Linked DNA regions of Lytechinus pictus. The protein of the gene in region 2 purifies or fractionates together with the protein of the main gene of each other region. This does not show direct contact. Links are inferred from orthologs where the notes say so. Each region holds a gene or a part of one and is shown on either strand. Other genes may lie near its edges.

Region 1 (7,218 bases), on a different chromosome or scaffold from region 2:
TCTACTACAGGCACCAACACATCGTTGGCATCGCGGGCGCTGTTGGTATATACATACTAAACATACATTCACATCGTTGGCATCGCCGGCAAAGTTGGCCTATACTTACTAAAGATACATTCACATCGTTGGCATCGCCGGCAATGTTGGCCTCTACTACAGGCATATTCACATCGTTGGCATCGCCGGCAATGTTGGCCTCTACTACAGGCATATTCACATCGTTGGCATCGCCGGCAATGTTGGCCTATGTAAGATACATTCACATCGTTGGCACTGTTGGCATCTACTACAGGCACCAACACATCGTTGGCATCGCGGGCGCTGTTGGTATATACATACTAAACATACGTTCACATCGTTGGCATCGCCGGCAAAGTTGGCCTATACTTACTAAAGATACATTCACATCGTTGGCATCGATGGCAAGGTCGGCCTGTACTACAGACACCAACACATCGTTGGCATCCTGGCCGGCGCTGTTGGCCTATACGTACTAAAGATACATTTACATTGTTGGCATCGTTGGCACTGTTGGCATCTACTACAGGCACCAACACATCGTTGGCATCGCGGGCGCTGTTGGCCTATACCTACTAAAGATACATTCACATCGTTGGCATCGAGGGCAATGTTGGCCTTTACAGTACAGACACCAACACATCGTTGGCATCGCGGGCAATGTTGGTCTACATAGGAAACTACAGATATGATCGCATCGTTGGCATCGCGGGCACTGTTGGCATGTACTACAGACACCAACACATCGTTGCCATGGCGGGCAATGTTGGTTTACATAGGCAACTACAGATATGATCGCATCGTTGGCATCGCCGGCAATGTTGGCCTCTACTACAGGCATATTCACATCGTTGGCATCGCCGGCAATGTTGGCCTATGTAAGATACATTCACATCGTTGGCACTGTTGGCATCTACTACAGGCACCAACACATCGTTGGCATTGTTGGCACTGTTGGCATCTACTACAGGCACCAACACAACGTTGGCATCGCGGGCGCTGTTGGCCTATACATACAAAAGATACATTCACATCGTTGGCATCGATGGCAAGGTTGGCCTGTACTACAGACACCAACACATCGTAATTGGCATCCTGGCCGGCGCTGTTGGCCTATACGTACTAAAGATACATTTACATTGTTGGCATTGTTGGCACTGTTGGCATCTACTACAGGCACCAACACAACGTTGGCATCGCGGGCGCTGTTGGCCTATACATACAAAAGATACATTCACATCGTTGGCATCGCGGGCAAGGTTGGCCTATACTACAGACACCAACACATCGTTGGCATCCTGGCCGGCGCTGTTGGCCTATACGTACTAAAGATACATTTACATTGTTGGCATCGTTGGCACTGTTGGCATCTACTACAGGCACCAACACATCGTTGGCATCGCGGGCGCTGTTGGCCTATACCTACTAAAGATACATTCACATCGTTGGCATCGAGGGCAATGTTGGCCTGTACAGTACAGACACCAACACATCGTTGGCATCGCGGGCAATGTTGGTCTACATAGGAAACTACAGATATGATCGCATCGTTGGCATCGCGGGCACTGTTGGCATGTACTACAGACACCAACACATCGTTGCCATGGCGGGCAATGTTGGTTTACATAGGCAACTACAGATATGATCGCATCGTTGGCATCGAGGGCAATGTTGGCCTGTACTACAGACACCAACACATCGTTGGCATCGCGGGCAATGTTGGTCTACACATACTACGGAAATATACACATCGTTGGCATCGCGGACACTGTTGGTCTACATACTACAGAACACAGATATAGATCGTTGGCATCGAGGGCAGTGTTGGCCTGTACCGACTACAGACACCAACACACCGCTACCATCGCGGACTGTGTTGGCCTACACGTACTACGAAAATATACACATCGTTGGCATCGCGGGCAATGTCGGCCTACATACTACAGATGCACACAGATATATATATAGATCGTTGGCATCGCGGGCAGTGTTGGCCTGTACTACGGACAGTATGGTAGGGGGTCCTAAAGCTACGCGGGTCCTAAAGCTACGCACCACTTATCGCGCATGCAGTTTTTAATGGCAAATGCGCACTCTGTGTGTGGAACTGTGACTGCAGTGTGACGAATGATTCCTAATCATTTTTTTCTACAGAGGCTGCAGTAAATCTCTAAATGCAGAGAAAACCAAAAACTTTTTGGAATTTTGGAGTTATATTCACTTAAATTTCATTTTATCCTATAATATTATGAATGTATTCTAGAAATTGAGGCACAGGAAATACTATTTTTTTACATGATAAATCGAGTACGTAGCTTTAGGACCCCTTCTACATCGGGTGGCGAAATCAAGAGGTGTTCGGATAACACGGCGGGATTTTCGTATTAGGGAGTTTTGCGATATTTTCTTCTTGGTTAATGATCTTTAGAATGTTTGCCACAAATTAGTGAAAGATATTTGTTGAAATATTAAAATTGGGATAGTTTTTATTGTTTGAAAACAATGTGCGTAGCTTTAGGTCCCCCCATCATACATCGTTGTGCGTTGGCTCTCCAACGATAAGGTAACGCAGTGTCCGGGTATTCTGCAGTTGTTCCTAAATCTGCATTTTTTATGCTATGCTACAAAACACAGACATCATCCCATTACTACTAGTCCTATCCAACTTACAGGCTCCGAATGCAGAGTAAAGGGTCTTTTTTACGAGGGAGATACATTTTTTATCAAAAGCCCCTACCAATATTTACTACGGTCCCACACGTATTATTTCGCGTAAGTTCATTTCACATCGACACATCGCGATCCGATTTTGCAAGACAAGCTTTGATAAATTCAACTCACCAAAACATTCTGGTGTCAAAGAAACATTCCTCTTATCACAATAACTTGTGGCAACCCTTGGACGAAGATTTGAAGACAATATTGCGCCTATTCGTCTCGATAAACCGCTCCGCAATGCGGAGGCTCCAACACTCGCCATCTTTAATTCTAGCCTGGATGGATCGCGAGGACGCGAGCTCGATCGATCGAGCGATCGTACCGTTTCGTACGGGAGTAGTCGGGGCACGGGGGGGGGGTACTGGTGAGTAATAGGGAATATATCACCAAATAACAACACCCTATCAACAACAACAATAAAATGAACCCCGAGACCAAGAATTTTAATTCAATTTTTTTTTCCGGTTTGAAATTAGGTTACGGGGGGGGGGGTGTTGCTAAATATGGGGACAGCTGTTATAAAACTAGGGGCGGAAAAATGGAACTTGTTCCCACGAAATAAGTTTACTTATTTTGTTCCCTAAACTTTTTCGCAAATTCCCTTGACTTATAGTTACAAGTCGAGCTGGGAAGTCAAGGGACCAAGGTGCAGCTATAGTATATAGGAACAAATAATTTTATAAGTCGAATGAACGAGCTATTAACCAGGGGCGGATCCAGCTTTTTATAAAGGGGGGGGTTGGGGTGGTATACGAGGGAGCGTAGCGACCGAGTCCAAGCGAGCGGAGCGAGCGAGGGGGGAGGGTGTGGGAGGGGAGTGTCCCCCCTCCCACAGTAGGGAAAATTTTTGAAAATCTGTGTGTGAAAATGGCGTTTTCTTGCTTTACAAGTTTAAAAAAAAAGATAAGATTTAAAAAAATGGTCCCCGGATTTTTTTTGGGGGGGGGTTGCAACCCCCCCAACCCCCCCTCTAGATCCGCTTCTGTTAACTCTGGGAAGAACGAATTAAAAAGAACCATGTTATGTCAGCTTATAGGGGCTATCTATCTATATACCCGTGTCATTCACATGATAAAAAACTGGTCGTATGAAAAGTGTTAATTCAAGACCCTAACAGAAATTTACTTTTGAACTATACAATAGGACAGTTGTCACTGTGGCAGGTATCCTGCCAAATAACCATGCTCCAATAAATTTGCAAATCAATTACTGATTTATCATTTTTTTTCATTAATATTTTTTCATTTTATTTATTTTATTTTATTTATTTATTTTTATTATTTTTGTTGTTGTTTTTGTTGTTGCGGTATGGTTTCCCCGTCCTGCATGGGCATCTTTCTCTTCATCTATCTCTATTTTTAATATATTCCCCCCCCCCCCCACCCCTTTAAATTCTATGACTATAACTTGAATTATACATGCAATATCAAATGTAGATATATTTTTCTCCAATGATTGAACATTTAATTCAATTCCTCATGGAACATTAAATAGGGGATGCGCTTTACGGGTAGGAGTGCAGGGTGCATGAACCCCTCCCCCTATCATTTTCAATTAGAGAAAAGGAGAGAAAGAAAGAGGAAGGAAGAAGAAAAAATTAGTATAAAATAAAGAGGTATTGGTCTTGTAACTGTAATTTCTTTTTCTATACCCCTGTGATTAAAGTGAGAAGCCTGGGGAGTGTTTCGTCAACATTTTCATCCGACAAGTCGTTAGATCTGACATCTTTCTCTGATGTTGATTGGCTGAGAGGTACTGTTGCTATGGTAACTGTCGGATAAAATGGGACTTGTCGGACGTTTTATCCGACAGTTACCATAGCAACAGTACCTCTCAGCCAATCAGAATCAAGGAAAGATGTCAGATCTGACAACTTGTCAGACAAAAATGTTAATGAAACGGTCCCCAGGGGGGCGTTTCATCAATATTTTCGTCCGACAAGTTGTCAGATCTGACAACTTTCCTGGATTCTGATTGGTTGAGAAGCACTGTTACTATAGTAACTGTCGGATAAAACAGGACTTGTCGGATAAAACGTCCGACAAGTCCTTTCATGAAACGCTCCCCAGATCTTACCACTCCATTTCCCTCCAAATCACCCTGACACTTGCCCTGACACCACCCGTGGGGTTCGTTTTCATTAAACTTGTCACTTGTTTAAGCGTGACTTTGCAAAATACCATTCATGTGGACCTATACTATGAGTCTATATATGAGATTTTTACAAGAACTATAATTATCATGTTTATGTTGCTTTGTTTAATGATAATGGTAAACCAATTTAGAAATATGAAAATATTTTCAATAAATCAATTGCTTTCATTGGTCACCTTCCTTATCAGCAGTGCTTCCAAACAAAGTTAGTAACTTTTAGTTTCACGTATTGGCTTCAGTGATAACAAAGCAAATCAAGTTATTTTTATCAAAAGCCTCAATTTGTCAACGACCCTTCGTCTTTGTCAGGAGTAAATGAAAATGATCAGATCAATCGTTGTCAATTACTCCTGACAAAGACCGTGAAGGATCGTCGAAAATTTGTAATGTTGGTGTTCCACCCCCATCCGGCCCCATCGGTCAAGCATTTTTCTTCACTTTTTTTTATGGTGGTGGTGGTGGGGGTGCATGCATGACCGGTAATACTCTAAAAAAGAAGAAGAAGAAGAAGAAAACAATTAGGCACCTAGCTCCAATTAGCATTCTGGATTCCGGCCGGGATGACTTTTTTTTTTTGATTGGAGGAAAGTTTTTGATTGGAGAGTGGACCTGCAAATTGCGTAGACGTTTGATTTTTTTTTCAGTTGTCAAATGATTTATGTCCCCCGATAAGGTTTTCCAGGTACTTGGTTCACTTACTCCCTTCCCATTATATAGCCCCCATAGTCCCCCGGTATTTTTCAATTCGTCTAATGCCAATTCGTCCAATTAACTCGTCTACTATCATGTGGTCTAACATCAGTTCGTCCACTATCCAGATTATCTAATTACAATTTCGTCTACTCACCATTTCGTCTTATAACCAGTTGGTCCAATAGCCATAAATCCATATGCCATTTGGTCTAATTGGGCGAAAGGAATGAAAATAAATTTTTTTTAGACCCGACTGGTTATGAGACGAAATGGTCATAGATGAAATGGTGATTAGACGAAGTGATGATTGGACCAACTGGTTATTGGACCAAATGGTTGTTAGACGAAATTTTGATGGACAGAATGGCATTAGACTAAATGAAGCCAGAAGGTAGACCATGTGTTGAATGTACGAGTTGGCTGTAGGCGAAATGGCAATTTACCAACAAAATAAGGATACGCTGTATGGTATTTCAACATGTGATGGCGCTAGACCACTTGATGCCAGCGAGCTACTCGTTTGTTTACTAATCATCATACCGCAAACACTTTCGTGACCTCTTCCAAGGCTCTAATATGATAAACTTGTTATTACTGTTAGCAACTATGGAAAGTGTTGGGAGCAGCATACATTTGTTCTATAATACCCAGACATGATTTTTAATGATTTTTGTTTTGAGTTTCCTATTTGATCATAATGTATTACATTATAAAAATAATTTTCAGTGAAAAGAAATACATGCCAATGATAATGATAATAATGATACACTGATAAAAATCATAATATGCATTTGTATTCCAAGTTGTACAAGAAAAAAGAAAGAGTTTGGAATTTTATTGGCCTTTTATATTCTTTATATTCTTTATTCATCTACATTTTCATTGTATGATTGTATCTTATTTATATGTCCATTGTAAAATATGTATATGTTCTTTTTATCGTTGCAGGGCCTCTTTGTAAATCAGTTCTATAACTGAAAGGGCTACCCTGCATAAATAAAACTGAAATAAATAAATACATCCTTATATACATGTAGTATGTTGTCCTTTTCCACTTTGTTGATATGCCCTCCCCCCCCCCACACCCTTGAAACTTGAAAAATAATTCCTAGTTTCAACAGCTTCAAAGCTATCCTGGGATAAAAACATTCTGTGTATCAGTGCGAGGCGACATGGGGAAATAATTTTAAATTTCTGTCATATACAGTAAAATTTAATGCAGTTATCACCTCTCATTGGAATATAATTATAATGTGCCCAGTGGGCCGAGTACTGAAGCTTTGAACCTCGATCACATTTTCATGAATGTTGTCAGGTGTCCCATACCATTCAGGCAACCACCATAAGAAGCAAGCAAATCAAATCAATTAAAACAAATAAATTTTCTGATTATCATCCAAACACAGAAAAATACAACAAGAAATAATAAAAAGATATTTGATAACATTCAATATGGAACATGTCAAGTTCTATTTACAAAATATAAATAATTGCATAAGATTTTTTCATGTGTACATAGCAGTTACAAAACAAATGAAATAACAATCATTATTATGAAACTTGCAAAGCTTGATTTACAGGTGTGTTCCTGTGTTTGCAAATCTAACATGTAAATTACAATACTTACCAAAA
Region 2 (7,203 bases):
TCATATTATGTTCTCATTATCATTTTATCATAATTATCATTATTATTTTATCATAATTATCATTTTTATCATAATTATTATTCTATTGTTATTTAATCATAATTATCATTATTATTATTGTTATTATTACTATCATCATCATACATCATTATTATTCTTTATCATTGTTGTTTTTATTTATTATTATTATTCTTATTGTCAATATTTTGTTATCATTAATATAATTATTATTATTATCATTATTTTTATAACTATCATCATATATCATTATTATTCTTTATTATTCTTTATTATTGTTGTTGTTATTATGGTTATTATTCTTTATCATATCATCATTAATCATTATTCTTTATCATTGTTGTTATTATTATTGTTATTTTTATTATATCATTATTACTATCATCATTATAATAAATATTCTTTGTTGTTGTTATTATTATCATCATAATAGTGATAATAGTATAAGAAATTATTATTATCATTATTTTTTATCATAGGAAATGTGCCCCTTCCATCCAGTCCGTTCCTTGTATTTCATTTAATTCCTTCAAATGATATCACTGTAGACTCATTCATAACTTTTGGGTATTATCGTAATTATTATCATTATTGTCATTATTTTTGATGGTATTTATTTATTTTTTACTTATTATTGTTATCCTTATTTTTTGTTAAAATCATTTATATTTTATTTATCATTTTTATAATAATTATTATTATTGTTATTTTCTATTATTAACCTTTATCATAATTATTATCAACATCATTATTGTTTTTAATCTTTATTATCATCATCCCCATCATTGTTGTTATCATTACTTTACTTTTTATTTCCGTCACATATTTGTATTGATTACTTTAATGTTTTGGGGGTGACTCTTTCAATAATAATACCAACAATAATGAAAATGATGCCAATGATGATAATAATTATGATAATTTATACCCAAACGATATGAGTCTACAGTGATTTCATTTGAAGGAATTAAATGAAATACAAGGAACGGAAGAGATGGAAGGGGCACATTTTCAATGATAATGAATAATAATAATAATGATGATATAATAATTTATTATATTATCATCATTATTGTAATAATAATAATAACAACAACAATAATAAAGAATAATAATGATATATGATGATAGTAATAATAATAATGATATTAATAATGATAATGATAATATTGACAATAATAATAATGATAAATAGCAATAATAATATTGATAATTATGATTAAATAATATGTGGTCCAGTGGTTAGAGCATTGGACTCATAATCGCAAGGTTGTGAGTTCGAATCCCAACTCTGCCATTGTCTCCACTTTGATAAAAAGGCCCAAGAGTGATATCTGTCGTCTATTACGTCAGCCACTCTGACTGATTAATCTAGACGTAAAATGTTTCCAAGGTAATTGGTTATATACCAGCAAAATGCTGTCCTGCCGAGTTCCTACGGGAGTTACCACAAACAGAAACAAACAGAAACAGAATAATAACAATAATAATAATGATAATTATGATTAAATAATACTGATATATGATGATAGTAATAATAATAATGATATTAATAATGATAATGATAATATTGACAATAATAATAATGATAAATAGCAATAATAATATATGATGATAGTAATAATAATGACATTAATAATGATAATGATAATATTGACAATAATAATAATGATAAATAGCAATAATAATATTGATATTATGATTAAATAATAATGATAATAACAATAATAATAATTATGATTAAATAACAATAATAATAATTATGATAAAATAATAATTATTATGATAAAATGATATAATATGATGAGACAATAATAATAATAATTCCCGAAGGTTTTGAATGAGTCTTCCTTGTCACGTTGCACTTGGAAACTGTCCCCATCCCCTTGTCGAACGAGCACGATTTTATGTTGTGAGGGGACGGTATCACGAGTATAATATACTGTTGGAGCTATCCCCACTGCGTGCCAAACGAAATGTGTATCCCATAGCGTGGGGATTGTATCACGAGTATACTATACTGTTGAAACTGTCCCCACCGCCGTGAAAATCAAACTTGATTTACCGTAGAGTGGGGACTGTATCATGAGTATATAATAGGGAGAGAACCCAGGTGTGTGTTTCATTTGTGTGTGTTTTCATCATTTCGCAAGTTCTCGAGCTGTGCGAGAGTTTGGTAGGTGTGATTCTAATAGTCCCCATTTTGGGATTTGGGGACTATATCACGATTATGCCGAAATCTCTCCCAAACGGTAGGGGGGACAAGGGCTGGAAAATTTGACGAGCAAAAAAAAAAAGGTTATGACCCCAAAACTAAAAGTAAGGTCATCTCGTCCAAATACATCCATGTTTTATTTCGATTTTGAATGATGTAGGCCTAATTCTTTTCATCAAAAAAGACCAAAAAAGTAGGGGGGACATTTGATATTGTGTCCCCCCTACTTTTTTGAGTAGGGGGACGCCAGGTACACAGACACCCTCACCCCTTAAGTTCAGGATTTTGCCAGTTCGCAGCATAGCCATAGCGAAGTTTCCTGGATGGAGTTATACCTTGGTCACATTTGATCTACGGCGGCCGTACGTCGAGTCGAAAACAGCCGTTTAATTAATTTTAATTCAAACCACCTATATGTAGTTGGTACACAAAATGTTAAAACGGCTGTTTTCGACTCGCCGTACGGCCGTCGTAGAACAAATGTGACCAAGGTACTATTAGCAGCGACAGCGTGAGTAGCCGGGAGAGAGCTTGGACTCTTTTTTGGAGCAGCTTTGTCGATCGCGATGCAATTTTCAGTGACGCGACTGGAGTGGAGAAACCAGAGGAGAAATCAACTCACCTGAGCAGAAGCCGGGGAAGAAGTACCCAGACATCTTCTAGCAAAGGGACTTGGGATTATCTGAAATATAATATATAATAGAATATATCAATAACGATTAAAAGGCTTTTTTAGAACCGATAAAAGAGAAAAAAATGATCTGTAGATCTCTATTTTACCTTCCGAGCAAGCCGCAGCTTTCCAGCAAGAGCCATTTTGTTGAATGCATTAGCGCCCTCTCGCGATCGCGCTCACGATCCAGAGAGAAATTGATATTTTTTTATTTGGAATTTTTATCATTTTCTTCATCATCACTGTTTGGAGTAAACCAGAGGGGGTGGAATACTTTGAGTCTGGGGCGGCGGAGCGAAGTTAAAAGTGGGAGGGGGGGGGGGCACAGGGAAAAAGGGCACCTTTTCTTTCGAAAAGGGCACTATCTTAAACATGGCCGTATGCAGAATTTTTTTCGCTAGGGGGGCCGGGGGGGGGGGGGAGTTTAACTTTGTTAAATGAAATTTAACCCCAGTGTATTTAAGGCACGAAGGATTACTTTTGCAAGATTTTCATGAAGGAAGCAAAACGGCGCTAAATGTTAAGAGACCGGGCGCTCATCGGGCACGAAAAAACGATAAAACTGGTCCTTCTCAGGTGTCCATGAGGGGGCATCATTTTTTGGAGAGAAAAAAAATTGGCACTTATACGAGAAAGGGGAAATTGGTATCACCTAATCTGGTCCTCCTTCGATGAAAGGGGCACAGTACACGTTTGTGAGGGGGCATTTTTCTTGCATAAAAAGGCACTTTTCAGTGCTTCAAAAAGTTGGGGGGGGGGGGGGCACTGTGCCCCCGCCCCAGGATCGCCGCCCCTGCTTTGGGTTGGAATCCATGTATTTTGTACTGAGCAAAAAAAATGCCTTGTGTTACTATTCATTTTAATGTTTTCTTGCAATCATTAATATTCTATTGACTTATTATAATGTTTTATCATTATGCTATTCTGTACAAGGTTGCATTTTGATCACCATGATTAGACAGGGCTTTCCTGCATTTTTTTTTTGGGGGGGGGGTACTTGAAGGACTGATCTTTGAATTTAAAACAGGATAAATTAATATATAAAAAGTCAAATTTTTTGTTAGTGTTGTACCCCTAAAAATTGGATTTGGAATTCAAGTAAATTTTTTTTACTTGTATGTTGAATATTCTTTTCTTCACAAAAAACAATATAATATAAGAGATGCAACGATTTTCAATGGTAAAAGTTTTTTATAGGAAGTGTGCATGTGTAAACGTTTTAAGCATCCGTTTCTTAGTGTGATTTAATGTTTTTGATATGATGGCAGATAATAGTTAGTGAGATGAAGTGCACCATGTGTGTGTATTTCAGTCCAACCATGATGAATGCTTTTGATCCTAGCTGAAATGGTTTCATTTTTATATGTATTCTTTGGAGGTGTTTTGTAAGTTGAAATAATATACGCACGTAAGTTCTCTATTGATCTTTTGCTTTGGCATAAAGTACTAAACTTTCCAATTACGGGCTTCGTGAAATCCTTAGGCCATCCTTCAAAAAAGTTGAATTGAATGAAAAGAGAAAAAGCAAACTTAACGCTGGAAATTTCAGAAGAAAGGTATTCGGGAATCTGCGCTTGGTATTTCTCATAGAGCTATATATAACCAGCCGCTGTGCGCTTTCTTTTTGCGCATGTCTCTTTCTCTCATTGATGACGTAGTTCAGTCGTTTCCAAGATAGCCGCGCAGATAGCAGCTGGATGGCAAGAAGACAAACAATAATTAAAACTCTTGTTACCGGTTTTGACTCCCTAATAATTCAAAGGCGAAGTTGTTTTATTTTCTTTCAACAGGATAATCTATTTTCGGGAGAATGGAGAAACAAATTGATACAGTTTTTCAATTTCTTAAGGACAACCCCAAAGTGGCGGCACTTGCATTGGGGGCACTCTTCGGGGCGGGTGCAGTGTGTTATGGGTATGTTGATTCATCGTTTGACCTCGTTGTTGTTGTTGTTTTTTTGCAGGAGTTTCTGCATTTTATTCATAAATCAATGATAAATTAACATGTTCACATAATTGAATGAATACAATTTAAATGTGACAATTAAAGAGATACATTGTAAATAATACAGAAAAGACTGATAGTTAAATCATACCTAAGCATGTGATATAGTTCGGTAAAATACAGGGGCCAGCTATTATAAGCACAGAGGTGCTTGAAGCAATAGCAGCCAGGAGAGGGGGCTACATGAAAACCATCATAAATCATATTTGATAAATTGATCGTCACGAAATATAAGATTTTAAAAAATATATATATTAGTAGAAAAAAATGGTTAAAAGAAGTGCAAGTGTGTGCATGTGGGTGAGTGCAGGTGAATCAAATTAGGTATACTTAGAAATAAGAATTTTTTTCAACGAAGCTTTAAACGAATAGAGAGATGTACATTGTTTAATATCATGTGGCAATGCATTCCAAATATCTGGGCCATGGTGGCGTATCGTCTTATGAGCGAGTAATATTCTTGGGTTGGTTAAGTGAAGATCTGTTGAATGTCGTGTTGGATATTTGTGAATGTCTTTGTTGTAAACAAAAAAATTGCGAAATGGAATCGGGATAATATTGGATGAATATTTAAACATAAATATGGCCGTTTGATAAATGTTAATATCTTCAATTTTCAATGTCTTTAAGTTGTGAAATATTGGATCAGTATGTGCAATGAAATGTGAATGAGTACATATGCGGAGTGCTTTCTTTTGGAGACGGAAAATCGTTTCTATTTTTACCTTACTACTATACCCCCATACTAAGTTGCAGTAAGATAAGTGGGATAAAACGAACGAATTATAAAGCATAATGATTTTTTGGAGAGATAATATTTTAATCTAAACAAAATTCCTATTCCTCTGGATGCCATCATGCAAATATTGTGAATGTGACTGTTCCAGGTTAAATTTGAGTCAATCCATACACCTAAAAATTTGGTTTCTTGTTTTTCAATGATAGGTATGTCATCTATGTATATATTAAGGAACATATGTTTAGTTTGAATGTGTTTAAAATACATAAAATTTGTTTTGCTTATATTTAGGGAGAGTTTATTAGCTTTAAACCATTTTGATAATTTCTTTAATTCTAAATTAAGTGTCGGGACGAGTATATTTAAGTCTTTGTGGGAATAGAAGACATTTGTATCGTCTGCAAATAAAACGTATGTTAATTCTCGAGATGCATTTACAATATCATTCATATAAATCAAAAATAGCAAGGGACCTAACATCGATCCTTGTGGTACTCCACATTTCATGGTACAAATATAGGATGTTTTTTATTTGAAAGAAACATAATGGCGTCGATTACTTAAGTAATCTTTGAACCAAGTGAAAACCACCCCCCTGATTCCATATCTCTTTAATTTACAAAGTAAAATGCGGTGATCCATTGTATCGAATGCTTTCGATAGATCCATAAAAATCCCAACAGTGTGTTCTTTTTTAGAGAGAGAATCAGATATTTTGTCGAATAATTGTAAAATAGCATAATCGGTTGAATGATTCTCTCTAAAACCATATTGATTTGGAATTAATATATTATTATTGTTCAAAAAGGAATACAATCGCTTGTAAACTACTTTTAAATTTTTTTAGAGATATACTCGGTAATAAAGATATTAGTCGGTAGTTGGAAGTAAGACATGGGTCATCTTTCTTATATATTGGTATTATTTTTGCAATCTTAAGTAGATCGGGAACAATGCCATGATACAGAGAAAGGTTAAAAATATGCATGAGCGGTGAAGCTATAAAGTGAATTATTTGTTTTAATAAATAGACACTTATTCCATCATGCCCTGAAGATTTAGTCGGTTTCAAAGACCTAACAATTTCTAAGATCTCATGAGTATTAGTCGGATTAAAAAATAAAGAATTTTCCGGAAAGTCGTTTAAGTATTAAGAAAAGTCATTATCATTAGATACTATTTTTGAAGCTAAATTTGGACCGATATTATTGAAGAAGTTATTAAAGGCATTAGCAACATCACTTGGGTTTCGCAAGTGTTGTCCATTTTCTACGAAATTAATGTTATCATAGCTTTCTTTTTTCTTACCTAATATCTCATTTACAGATTTCCATAATGAATTTTTATTATCTTTGTTATTTTCAATTTTATCAGAAAAGTAAGATTTGCGAGCTAGGTGGATAACTGAAATTAATTTGTTGCGGAATTTTTTGTATTTATTTATGTTTTGAATTGTAGGCGATTTAATGGATATTTTATAGAGTCTATTCCGAGTAAATATGGATTTAATTATACCTTGTGTAACCCACGGTTGTTTGTTCTTCTTTTTGCTCG

What was found. The genes of interacting proteins can lie anywhere in the genome.
Region 1: the proteins of pyruvate dehydrogenase E1 component subunit beta, mitochondrial-like (region 2) and pyruvate dehydrogenase protein X component-like purify together in Homo sapiens (affinity purification with mass spectrometry; 4 studies listed by BioGRID and IntAct, counting the BioPlex papers as one, with this or other methods). This does not show direct contact. The link is inferred for Lytechinus pictus from reciprocal best matches to the Homo sapiens genes PDHB and PDHX.

The regions. Positions count from the first base shown.
Region 1 is NC_087253.1:21,265,091-21,272,308, reverse strand, and holds the start of pyruvate dehydrogenase protein X component-like, read right to left. Parts: upstream 3,021-7,218; 5' UTR 2,863-3,020; intron 1-2,862.
Region 2 is NC_087247.1:29,769,447-29,776,649, forward strand, and holds the start of pyruvate dehydrogenase E1 component subunit beta, mitochondrial-like, read right to left. Parts: upstream 3,095-7,203; 5' UTR 3,050-3,094; coding exon 3,014-3,049; intron 2,916-3,013; coding exon 2,856-2,915; intron 1-2,855. UniProt on the Homo sapiens protein: The pyruvate dehydrogenase complex catalyzes the overall conversion of pyruvate to acetyl-CoA and CO(2), and thereby links the glycolytic pathway to the tricarboxylic cycle.